Linked DNA regions of Mus musculus. The protein of the gene in region 3 purifies or fractionates together with the protein of the main gene of each other region. This does not show direct contact. Links are inferred from orthologs where the notes say so. Each region holds a gene or a part of one and is shown on either strand. Other genes may lie near its edges.

What was found.
Region 1: the proteins of Ube2cbp (region 3) and Dnaaf2 purify together in Homo sapiens (affinity purification with mass spectrometry; 4 studies listed by BioGRID and IntAct, counting the BioPlex papers as one, with this or other methods). This does not show direct contact. The link is inferred for Mus musculus from reciprocal best matches to the Homo sapiens genes UBE3D and DNAAF2.
Region 2: the proteins of Ube2cbp (region 3) and Cpsf3 purify together in Homo sapiens (affinity purification with mass spectrometry; 4 studies listed by BioGRID and IntAct, counting the BioPlex papers as one, with this or other methods). This does not show direct contact. The link is inferred for Mus musculus from reciprocal best matches to the Homo sapiens genes UBE3D and CPSF3.

What each region holds. Positions count from the first base shown.
Region 1 is NC_000078.6:69,195,542-69,199,989, forward strand, and holds the start of Dnaaf2 (protein kintoun), read right to left. Parts: upstream 2,889-4,448; 5' UTR 2,745-2,888; coding exon 951-2,744; intron 1-950. UniProt on the Homo sapiens protein: Required for cytoplasmic pre-assembly of axonemal dyneins, thereby playing a central role in motility in cilia and flagella.
Region 2 is NC_000078.6:21,299,705-21,303,352, reverse strand, and holds part of Cpsf3 (cleavage and polyadenylation specificity factor subunit 3), read right to left. Parts: intron 3,312-3,648; coding exon 3,136-3,311; intron 1,938-3,135; coding exon 1,779-1,937; intron 995-1,778; coding exon 848-994; intron 1-847. UniProt on the Homo sapiens protein: Component of the cleavage and polyadenylation specificity factor (CPSF) complex that plays a key role in pre-mRNA 3'-end formation, recognizing the AAUAAA signal sequence and interacting with poly(A) polymerase and other factors to bring about cleavage and poly(A) addition.
Region 3 is NC_000075.6:86,451,314-86,454,961, forward strand, and holds part of Ube2cbp (E3 ubiquitin-protein ligase E3D), read right to left. Parts: intron 698-3,648; coding exon 501-697; intron 1-500. UniProt on the Homo sapiens protein: E3 ubiquitin-protein ligase which accepts ubiquitin from specific E2 ubiquitin-conjugating enzymes, and transfers it to substrates, generally promoting their degradation by the proteasome.

The DNA.
Region 1 (4,448 bases), on a different chromosome or scaffold from region 3:
TGGGTGTGGTGGCACACGCCTTTAATCCCAGCACTCCGGAGGCAGAGGCAGGCGGATTTCTGAGTTCAAGGCCAGCCTGGTCTACAGTGTGAGTTCCAGGACAGCCAGGACTATACAGAGAAACCCTGTCTCGAAAAACCAAAAAAAAAAAAAAAAAAACTGGCCTCAAACTCATAATCCTCCTGCCTCAGGCTCCTGAACGTTAGGGTGTAACGCTCCTGAACGCATCATTATGTCCGATACTTGGGGCTTGATACAGTATAGTATAAAATAAAAGAACGGGTTTTATGATCCCATTAGCCCCATCACAGGTGATAATAATTAATGGTATAATTATAATAAATCTACTTAAGTCTTCAAATATGCCTTAATCCCACTGTGATTTAGAAAAACATCTAGAAGAAGTGAACTGTTTTGGCAGGCTGGAGCTCAGAGCTCAGGGTTGAACAGTCTACAAAGCTATTGTTGTCTGTGACAACTTGACTTTCTGGGAGGCTGCAGGCCAACACTCTGCCACCGAACTACACCTTAGCCTCTTCACTGTTGCAGTTTACATATAACTTTGATATAAACCTCAAACAAAATTACCAAGTGCCCAATCCACACACACACTTGTTTTTTTGAGACAAGATCTTACTAACTATAGTTATAACCTTTTTCTCAGGAGAGACTGAACCCTCAATTTCTTGCATACATTTCCAGAAGTCTAGAGAGAAGTCACTAAAATCCACTGGTTTTCTAGTCGGTGGACCCCGAGTAAACAGGTGTAATACGGGTCAACCGTGAAGGCTTAAGAGCATCCTTAGGATAGAATACGTGCAATCTTCTCTTTGAGAATGAGCTTAGCCTGCACTGTCATCGTATGAATAGATAGAAAATATTTGTTTATGTGCCTGTAACAAAAAATGTTTAAAGTAAGATAGAGTATTTCAAATAGTGAGAACGGTTACCTCCAAAGACTCCTTGTTCAAGCCACAATACCACTCTCGCCAAAGTCCGTGGCTCTCTGGAGATTTTGCCAGTACTATGACTGCATTATTTAAAGAAACGCTAGTCTCGGGTTCTCTGGTACTCAACTTATTCTCTGGAGCAAACTGCAAAGTGCAGGAATAACCCGAGTCTTGTGTAGAGAAGCACAATTCGTAACCGACGGGGCTTAGATGTCCGTGAAGAGTTTGTGGCAGAATCCCAGGCACTTGGATGAGCAAAGTCAAGGAGTCTTCGTCCTGATTACACTGTAAAGGAGGGCACACGGGTGCGATGCTCTCGGTTCCGGGGTCACCCATGGCTGAGCCCGCGGTGTCGTGGCGGGTCCTCTCCTGCTCCTCATTCGTCTGGACACCGGGGTCTCCGCACAGGGATTCGGTGTCGCCGCCCGGGAAAGCAGAGTAAGGGAGGCTTCGGTCCCCAGGAGAAGTCCCTTTCCCGAGGTCTAGAGGTGCCACCGAGTCCCCTCCGAAGTCCTGCTCCGGTTCGGGAACGAGCTCCCCTTCAGCGTGTGCAGCCCCGGGGTCTGGGGCTCCCACACCGCTCTTCTCCCCGTGGTCAGCTCCGGTTCCATCTGCAGACTCTTCCCGCGCCGCTGCAAAATCGCCCGCGGAAGTGCGGGCTACGTCGTCAGTTCCGGTCTCCTCCGCGGGCTCTTCCGGTGTCGCGGCCGGGGGTTCCTGGCGCGCGTCGGCCAGCGCCACCGGCAGCGTGACCACCAGCTGCCGCCGCGCCTTGTTGTACTGTGCCTTGCCGCGGCCGTCGTCCACCGGGTACGGCAGCGAGAGCCGCAGCCGGTAGTCGGGGTTTCTCGAGTCCAGGCACAGCAGCTTCCCCTTCACCTCCAGCTCCGCCCGCTCGACCGAGCGCAGCAGCGGCAGCTCGATGGTGACCACCAGCTCGTGCGGCACGGTGCTCGGGGCCGCGTCGCGCGAGCAGCGGTAATCCTGGAGGTCTACGTGGTGGCGCTGCACCACGGAGCAGCGCGGCTCCGTGGGCTCTGGGCGCTGCACGGCCTCGGGAGCGGGGGACGCGGGCGAGCGGGCAGTGTTCGCCGCCGCTGCCGCGGGGTAGCGGTATGGATATGGTGGGTCCGGGAAAAGCCCTGGTGGCTCCCCCTCGGGCTGGGCCGGGACGCCCCCGGGTAGGGGCGTGCGGAGCACTGCGGCCTCGGGCATCCCCTTGTACTTGATCTTCAGGGTCTTGGCGTTCCTGCGGTCCAGCCTGACGCCGAACTGCTGCTCCACCGCCTCCAGGGCCGTGGCGTCCAGCATTTCGCGGAAGCGCTCGTGGCTCCGGGCCAGCGCCAGCGCTTCGGGGTGGAAGACCACGTCGTAGACGGTGTAGCGGGCGCCGTTGCGGCCGGCATACTGGCGGCCGGGAGCCAGGCTATAGGGCAGGGACCAGTGGCTGCCAGCTGCCGTGCCGCCGCGCCCCGGGCCGGGCCGGCTGCTAGGTACGCCTACCAGTGAGTTGCTGCACACGTTCACGTAGCAGCGGTGCTCCCCGTCCAGGCTGGTACGCAGCACATGGCCCGGCTCAGGGTGCACGAACCGCACATCCACCCCACGCTCCCGCTCCAGGGCTGTGATCTCCTCCTCGTAGCGCCTCCGGTTCTCGGGGTCCGTGATCTCCGCGGCGTACTCGGAGAACATTCGGCGGAACTCTGGGTCCTGAAAGGCGGAGGTGAACCGCTGCACCTCCTCTCTGCTCAGATCCAAGTCCTCCAGCGCTGAGGAGGCCGCCGCCTTGGCCATGGTGACCCACACGGCCCAATGCCCAGACCCAGTGAAGGATCAGGGTGAATTGAGTGTCTAGGATGCGCTTCAGAGTCTGGCTCATGGAGAACTGACCAGTCCAAGAAGGTAACGGCTGGATTGTCAAGGCCGGGCAGCGCGTGCTTTGTTGCCATAGTAACGCCTGGGAGGAGGGGCAGCGATCTGGTAGAAATGCTAGAAATAGGCTCCACTGTTACTTCAAACCAAGCAGACACTACCTGCTACAGGTTTTAAATTACTGTGTCAGGATACGTGTACTTTGCAGTCTATTGTGGTAACTGTCCTCATCTTCAGCGCTGTGTCTTTATCTTATTAACTGTTTAATTTCACCAACAAGAGAGAAGTTTACTAGCTAATTCACAAACCTAACTTTATCTGACTCTCTTTACTTTGTGGAACCAACGTTAGTAAACCCTTACCATTTTCAGGTATTCCACCTTATAGTTGTCTCCCAGAAACCCTTGGGGGCAAAAGATGACAAAACAAATCCCAGAGATTAATAAGCATCAGAAAGGTGTTCGCTTTTTATAATGTAAATGCAAGCTCTCAAATCACTTAGCAAAATTACAGTTTGTCCTGATCAATTTCCTTGGGTTGAGAATAGAATTTATAACTGCGCTTTTTTTTTAAACTAGATATCCTTAGATTGACTCTGTAGTCTCTTAACAATGCTCCACTAGGAACCAATGCAGCAGATGTAGTAGTTACATAATGGAACTTTACTGTGCCAGACTATAGAAACTTGGTTTTGTTACAGGGCTAGGTGTGGGATCCAGGACTTCCCACCTGTGGCCTGAGCTGTACCACTGAGCCACACACCCAGGTCTAGGGTATGGTTACTTATTGATTGCTGGGCAGTCCCAGACCTGTTTTACAAGTGCAGCATTTAGCAGTTTATACTGGCATTACTGCAATCACAAGACCTTTCCCAGGCTTCTCTCTTATGCCTCCTCCTTTTGTGGGAGGGAATGTCCACAGAACCACACCCAGGGCCTCACACCTGAGACAAGCATTCTTTCCACCAATCTGCAGGCCTTCCTCTGTTACATTTTAAGTAGACTGTCCCAAGATTGGGATGACACCTCATCTCCGTTATGCCATCTCTTTCACATGCTAAATATATGTACTCAACTACCATGGTGACTCTGAGTTCAAGGCCAGCCTGGTCTGCAGAGCAAGTTCCAGAAAAGCCAAGGAATCCAGAGAAACGCTGTCTTGAAAACCCAAAACAAGTAAGTAAATAAAACTCAAATAACCAACTTCTGTTTCACATTCTAAGCTTATAGACTCATCAACTGTCCATCAGATGTCTCCATTTGAGTAATAACTGCTTAAGCCCCAGAGGCCTGAAATGGCGTGACTTCCCTTCCTCTTTCATTTTCAGCATTCCAAATTCTTGTTCTTTACTTTCTTTGCCCTTCCTCTGTCAGCTTCCCTATTCATGGACTTGCCAGTGCTGCTCATCTTCCCTCTTAAATGTCATCTGTTACTGGATCAGTCTGCGTCAGATATTTATTGCGTACTCTACCTGTGTAAATAAATAATGTACTTTTTGAAATTTTATCATTGTATATGTGCATGCATCCACCGTGAACGCATGTGTAGGTCAGAAGACAACTGGGAGTTCCTCTCTCCCAGCGTGGGTCCCAGGAATGGGACTCCGGGGGTTAGGCTTGTGCACAG
Region 2 (3,648 bases), on a different chromosome or scaffold from region 3:
AGTTCTCCTTCTACCTCCACACATGTGCTGAAGGCTGGCCTTGGGCTTTTGAGGCAAGCCCCTTTCCCCAGAGCTAGCTTACTGGCTCATTACTATTGTTTTCATAATACTTAAAGATATAAACAAGAGCTGGGCAGTGGTGGTGCACGCCTTTAATCCTAGCACTTGGGGGCAGAGACAGGCGGATTTCTGAGTTTGAGGCCAGCCTGGTCTACGGAGTGAGTTCCAGGACAGCCAAGGCTATTCAGAGAAACCCTGTCTCGAAAAACCAAAACCAAACCAAACCAAAAAACCAAATATACTAATACATAAGGAACTAACACAGTATGTGTTTACATCTCTATCTATTAAAACTTAGACATTTACTATGACTTTCTCCTCTGTGAAAATGATGTTTGCACTGTTAATTTAATAACAATATAAAGAATGCACCATGGGTCAGGTACTGTGTCAAGCACGCCATAGTCTCTCAGTCTTTCTGCACAATGACCTTATAAAGTGCTATTACCCTTATTTATAGAAAGCACAAAGAGGCTCCACAACTTGCCAGATACACAGCAGGCAAAAGGAGGAGTTAGGGGTTCAAGGTCAGTCATCATATGCTCAAGCCTGGCACTCAGGCTACTGGAGTGGCAGCAGAAACAGAGAGAACACTGGACTAGGTGAGTCTGGAGGAGTCTGCAGAGTGAGGAAACTCAGTGCAGTGGACCGAAGTCAAAGGGGAAGAGCAAAGGTTAAACCAAGTGCAAGTAGAATGCTCTGTTCACAAAGGAACACAAAGAGCTGGGCTGTGGCAGCCCTGTGTGTTTCATGCAGCTTTATCTACACATGCCATTCCCAGACTAACCACGTGAGGTGGCTTCAGAGCACGAATAAATTCACTGGTTTGCTGGTAATCTGTGTGAGCAGAGAAAGAAATGTAATCAACCGACATTTTCAGTGGCAACTTCTGTCCAGACATGGTCGTGATTTCTTCAGGTTCAGACATGATGTGCTGTTGGAAACAAATACAAGAAAAACAGACTTTGCAATTAGATAAATGAAGGTGCATTTTGGTTACGTCTTGCACAATCACGATCTCTAACGTTAACTTTGTGAACTGTACCGTGAACATCCTTCTGATGTCCTTGACTTAGTCAGTACTAAACGCTTATGGTTTTTATTGAGTAAATATTTAATCGAAGGTCAGACACCTCAGTAGGATCCAGTGCATTCAGCGCTGGAGGGAAGCCTGTAACGTAAACAAAGCTGCACTTGGCTCTGCTACAGCAGCTTCCCTGCAGAACCCACAGGACAGACACACCTCTAGTCTGGAGCCAGCTAAGCAAATGACCAGCAATGATCAGCAGGCTCTCTAACAACTTCATAGAATGTGGCAAAGGAGGAAAATGATCAGAACAAGAAACCACACTCTATTTTTAAATTAAAACAGATGTTAGCAGCAAGAAGACAAGAGAACATGCTTGCCTGGATGTCCATTAGCCTTTAAAGTCCTGCAGTGTACTCTATAATGTGTACATCCTACATGCTAAGAACAGCCATTTTATACCAAAATAGAGATGGCAGTCAGCCCTGGCGCATTATACAGCTCTGTAAAAGTCCATGTCATGGTTGTGCGCCCCTCATCTGAGAAATCTAGTAATTTTGAGCAAAAATGTCTGGGGAAACAACTGGTAAAGCCTATGCAAATAACCCCCAAGCCCAAAAGCAGAGCCTGAGCAGGAGCTCCGCCAGCATTCTCCATGAGACATGGGCTCCCATCCCAGGATGGTACTGACCTTGGCAAGTGTCCCTTCGACACAGTACCCCGCGATGATGACGCCATTCCTCTTATCTGTACACCAGCTTTCAAACAGCTCTCTGGATAAGCCGTTTTGAATCATGCCTGGTGAGGCCATCACAACACTGGGGCCAATGTCATCAAAGTGATCCATGCTCTGAGAGACAAAGGGTTAAAGGGTCACAGTCACCAGCCTGGTCAAACAGTCTCCTCGTAAAGTAATCACACTTCTGCATGGGCCATGGTGAGACTAGCTGGCACTGTGTTTAAGTGCCACATTACAAAATTAAAATGGATCCATCCTATAATTACCCTCCAAACGCTGACACCATTGCATACACTAGCAAGATTTTGCTGAAAGGACCCTGATATAGTTGTCTCTTGTGAGACTATACTGGGGCCTAGCAAACACAGAAGTGGATGCTCACAGTCAGCTAATGGATGGATCACAGGGCCCCCCAATGGAGGAGCTAGAAAAAGTACCCAAGGAGCTAAAGAGATCTGCAACCGTGTAGGTGCAACAACATTATGAACTTACCAGTACCCCGGAGCTCTTGACTCTAGCTGCATATGTATCAAAAGATGGCCTAGTCGGCCATCAGTGGAAAGAGAGGCCCATTGGACACACAAACTTTATATGCCCCAATACAGGGGAACACCAGGACCAAAAAGTGGGAATGGGTGGGTAGGGGAATGGGGGGAGGGTATGGGGGACTTTTGGGATAGCATTGGAAATGTAATTGAGGAAAATACGTAATAAAAAAAATATATAATTAAAAAAAAACAACAACAACAAAATTAAAATGTGCTGGGCATGGTGGAGAATGCCTTTAATATCAGTACTCAGAAGGCAATGGCAGGCAAATTTCTGAGTTCAAGGCCAGCCTCGTCTACAGAGTGAGTTTCAGGACAGCCAGGGCTATGTAGGGCTATGTTTGTCTCAAAACAAAACAAAACTAACCAAACAAAATTAATGATATTTGAAAAGCATTTAATCATAATATACTTTAAATTAAATTCGATTCTATTAATTGATATTGGGATGCAAACATGGGAGTTTTATTAATTCCTACATGGAATTTGCAGTGCTAATCAAAGAGGATCAGATGTGAACAACAAAATCTAAATCTGTAACCTGCCATATTTTTCCTGTCAGGACTTTCTTCCTATAGCAGGAGAGACTCAGGCTTTCTGCTGTGCACTGAGGGAATATGGAGACGCCGAGCAAGGGCAAGCCTGGCTCCAGTGCGTCCCAGCACCATGAAGCTGGCTGGAGAGCAGAGAGCCTCAGCAGCAGTGTGGCCACCCCTCACCACTGTGCGCCCCGCCGTGCCTCCCTCCTCCAAGAGCGGCACCTTGAGGTTGCTGATGTGCTTGAAAACAAAGGGGTTGTTGATGTTGATCTGCTTCCGGATCTTGTCGTTCATGGCATTCACGTAGGTCTGGTACACGGCCATGCACTTCTTGGCCAGAGACGATGCGTAGTAAATGGGTATGTCATGCAGCTCCGGGTGGTTCTGCCAGTACTCATCTGCAGAGGTTTCACAGAGGAAGCGTCCCTCAGCAGGCAGTAACAGTAACTACAAAACATCTGAGCTGAGTACCGTACAACTGTATTTTAATGAGTTTATCAAAACTACCCTGATCATTACTAAACTACAAATCTACCTAGCAATATAAAATCTAAAAATAAAACAAAGTTGTGTCAATGATCAAAAATATGGAATCTTTAACAGCTGCTTCATTTTATATTTATACTGATTAATATTTTGTTTGTTTTGTTTTTTAGAAATTGGTTTCTCTGTGTGGCCCTGGCTGTCCAGGAACTCACTATATAGACCAGGCTGACCATGACCTAACAGAGGGCT
Region 3 (3,648 bases):
CACACTCCACATTACCAGACAGCTATGTGGCTTGTGGGCATCTGTGTTTCCAGCACCCATATCAAACGGCTCACACACACCTCGTAGAAGCTAACCTGTCTGCTGAATGAAAACATATCTATGCAGTGTTTTAAAACCAACCAGGTTTCATACAACAGCTTTATAATTTTATCCTCATATCCGTGAGCCGGACATTTATGGTTAAAGAAACGAACTGGGCAGTTTGGGGGAAATCTCTGCACCTTCTGCTCAAATTTGCGACAAGGCTAAACATCCCCTAAAAATTAAAGCGCATTTTTAAACATACTGTTAAAAGAAAGACATGAAGGTTTGAGAAAGGAGAGTGATACAGCACACAGCACACAGCTGCTAACTGGCAGAACTGTTCCAGACCCTGGAATCTCTCGACCCCTCCAGGTCATTGATTGCCTAACTTTTCACCTGGGAAAAGTTCAACTAAAAAAACGTCAAAGCCCTCCAGGAGTGCCGCTCCTACTCACGTGGGCTGGATTCAGCCTGGACCCGCAAGCGCAGATGTAAACCATCGCCACTGATATACTGCAGCCCGCCACACGAGGAAGGTACAAGTCTGACCCCTGCTGGAAGTCGGATCTCGGTGCAGCCGTCAGGGGTTCTCACCAAAAGAGAGGTGGGCGTTATGGAAATGTCCAGGTGCATCCCTCCTTCATCTGGCCCACTGATGACACAAAATAAAAGCCAAGTGACGACTTCTCTCTGATGAAAGGCAAAGCTTACAAAATCCAAACCTTAACCCAGCATAGAGACCCTAAAATCCTTGTCCCAGGAAAACAGAAACAGACCCTGGGAGACAAGCTGGACTAGGTTAGATCAGGCAGGGCTTGCAGCCATCACCACGTGAGATTCCCAGGTCATGTTTTTAACTCTTGCTTCTGAGAACAGCATTAAAGTCAGAAAATCAAAGTACTGCTTAGCCGGTAATCAAGATTGTCATAAAAAGTCACAGATGTCAGCAAGGTTTCTGTAAAAAGTCAGAGAGTAAATATTTCCTGAGTTCTCCACCAGCCTAGGACCCACAGTGAGAACTTATCTCAAACAACAACAAACGCCCCAAACAACAGAAAAAAAAAAAAAGCCAGTTCTTAGTTCACAGGCTGTGCCAAAAGAAGCCATGAGATAGCTTGGTGTCCACCTTGCTACTGCAGTATTTTTGAAGCACAGTTGGCACCTAGAAATGTCCCCCCAAAACACCACTGGTAACCTGAGCCCCCACTGCCCCTGCTTCTGCCCCTGCTTCGGATGGCTAATCTTCTCAGTTGTGAAAAATTCAACCACTTACACAGAGCTGACTAAAGTGCACACACACTGTCAGCATTGCACATAACACCCAAAACATCGGGTTGTGTGTCTACAGTCCTCAACTGTACTGCTTAGGAGATCTCAGCGCGGGAGGAAAGTTTACACACACATTCAACACAGATGTAAGTTTTCTTGTGTTGATTTTTCAGCTGAACTTGTAAATCTGACTGGCTGTTCCATGAACCACACGGTCTCCATAAGATGATGTGTAGGAAGGCAGCTGGGGGGGGGGGTCTCCTTCTGCTTGCATCTCACTCATCTTAGTGGTTCCATCCTCAAGATCTCTTAGAGGCCCTGCCTCCGAACAACACCTCTGTGGGGAGTTAGAACTTATACCCATAGATTCCAAGAAGACTCTTGGTCTATAAGAAGGTTGCAGCATGTAGAGGGGAGAAGAGGGAACAGGAAAGAGCCAGCGGAAGCCTGGTTGCATAGAAGACTGACCAGGGAGATAAACATCAGGAGGCTAATGGGAGACGGGATTTATACTGTGCAAGAATACAGTTACATGGAAACAAAGGGAGGATGCTAGAATGGACCTGTGGCAGTGGGCTAGAATTAGGGATACCTCTATGAGATCATGGTTTAGGATGTGCATAGCTACAGAGATATAAATAGGTGGGAATGAATGTTTGTGTGTTAGTCAACAGTGTCATCTATGTGCCAGAAGTCTAAAAGAAATGACATTCCAATAGTAATGAGCACCAAATCTTAGTCTAGAAGGACAATTTTCTATTTAAAAAGAAGTCCTGGGGATTTAATTTGGTGGCATATGCAAGGCCCTAGGCTAGATTCCCAGTGTGTAGTTGTGCACACACACACACTATACATGCATACATGCACGCTTTTTGAGACAAGGTCTCAAGTGTCCCGGTCCAGACTCACACTCAGCTATGTAATGGAGGATGACCGGGAACTCCTGGTGCTCTTGCTTCTAAATCCCAAGTGTTAGGATTACAGGCATGCCCTGCCCCACGTAACCAGTACACACTCCTTGGAATGTTTTTAAAAGGCAAAACAATAAGGTTGCTTGAGAGAAAACTACATCAGGACTAGAGTAGAAAGAAAGAAAATCAAACTAGATAAGCCTATACCATACTACTGAGCACCAAAGTAAAGAGGCAGACAAAGGAAGTGAGAATGTCCTGTGTAGAGACTCCACTTTCAGTGTCTTGGGGCATTCTTACTATTATTATTCAGGGGCCACACCCTCCTTAAAGCTACCCAGGACAGCACATCTCCCTGAAAAGCAGCTATCGTCCTTAAATGCCCCATAAGACTTAGTGCTATACTTCTAGATTCAGCTTCAGCAAGTTCTTAGACACTGGATACTAACGAAACAGGACATCTGCAACTCTTACAGGCTAAATGTCATGGTGAAAATATTTATCCAATGCTGCAAACCAAGACCTTTTGTTTATTTTGTTACTAGAAATAGGGTTAATAAACACTTAGACATGAGGTAATCAGTGTGTTAGTCACCTTACTGTCACTGTGACAAAGCGTCTGAGAAATGCAACTTAAGAAGAAACTTGCATGGTATCTCCAGCTTCAGTCATTCTGGACCACAGCCTCTAAGGCCTGTTGCCTTGGGTCCGAGGAAAAGCTGAATATTACGGTGAGGAGCATAAGGCACAGCTGTTTGCCTCGTGGCAGTCAGGAAGCAATGAGAGCTGAAGAGCATGGGCTGCTTTTAACCATGATCCGCCCCTCACCGTTTCCATTTCTCCCAATAATCCACTTAGCTATGAGTCTATCAATGGGCTACTCCGCTGATGAACTTAGGACCATCAAAATCATGTCACCTCTGAACACTGATACTCTGGGAGGTCAGACTTTCAACACATGAGCCTTCTGCACACTTCAGATCTAAACCCTATCAGCCCCACTCCTTCAAGCTTTCTTCTGCTTAGCATCTCACAGTGCATACCTCATTCCACTCAGTGTGTTAGGCAAATGTTACCTCTCATTTAAATAAAAGACTTATTCTCTACCCCTCACTTCATTGTGGTTTTCCAGGTATTTCTCTCTATTTAGTATACTACTTTATGGTTCTTATTTTACCCTTTGTTTTTGTATTTTTCTCTGGCCATTATTCATTCATCCACTGCTATTATGAGCAAGAATGTAAAGTGGTGTAGAGACTATAGAAATTAGTATGAAATTTTTTCAAAAACTAAAATTAAAGCTATGACATGACTAGGCTATATTATTCCTCTGTGTCTGTAGTTTGTGTATGTTTGTGTATGTGTGTATGAGTGTGGGTGTGTATGTAGGTGTGAATATGTATGTATGTGTGTGTGTAAGTGT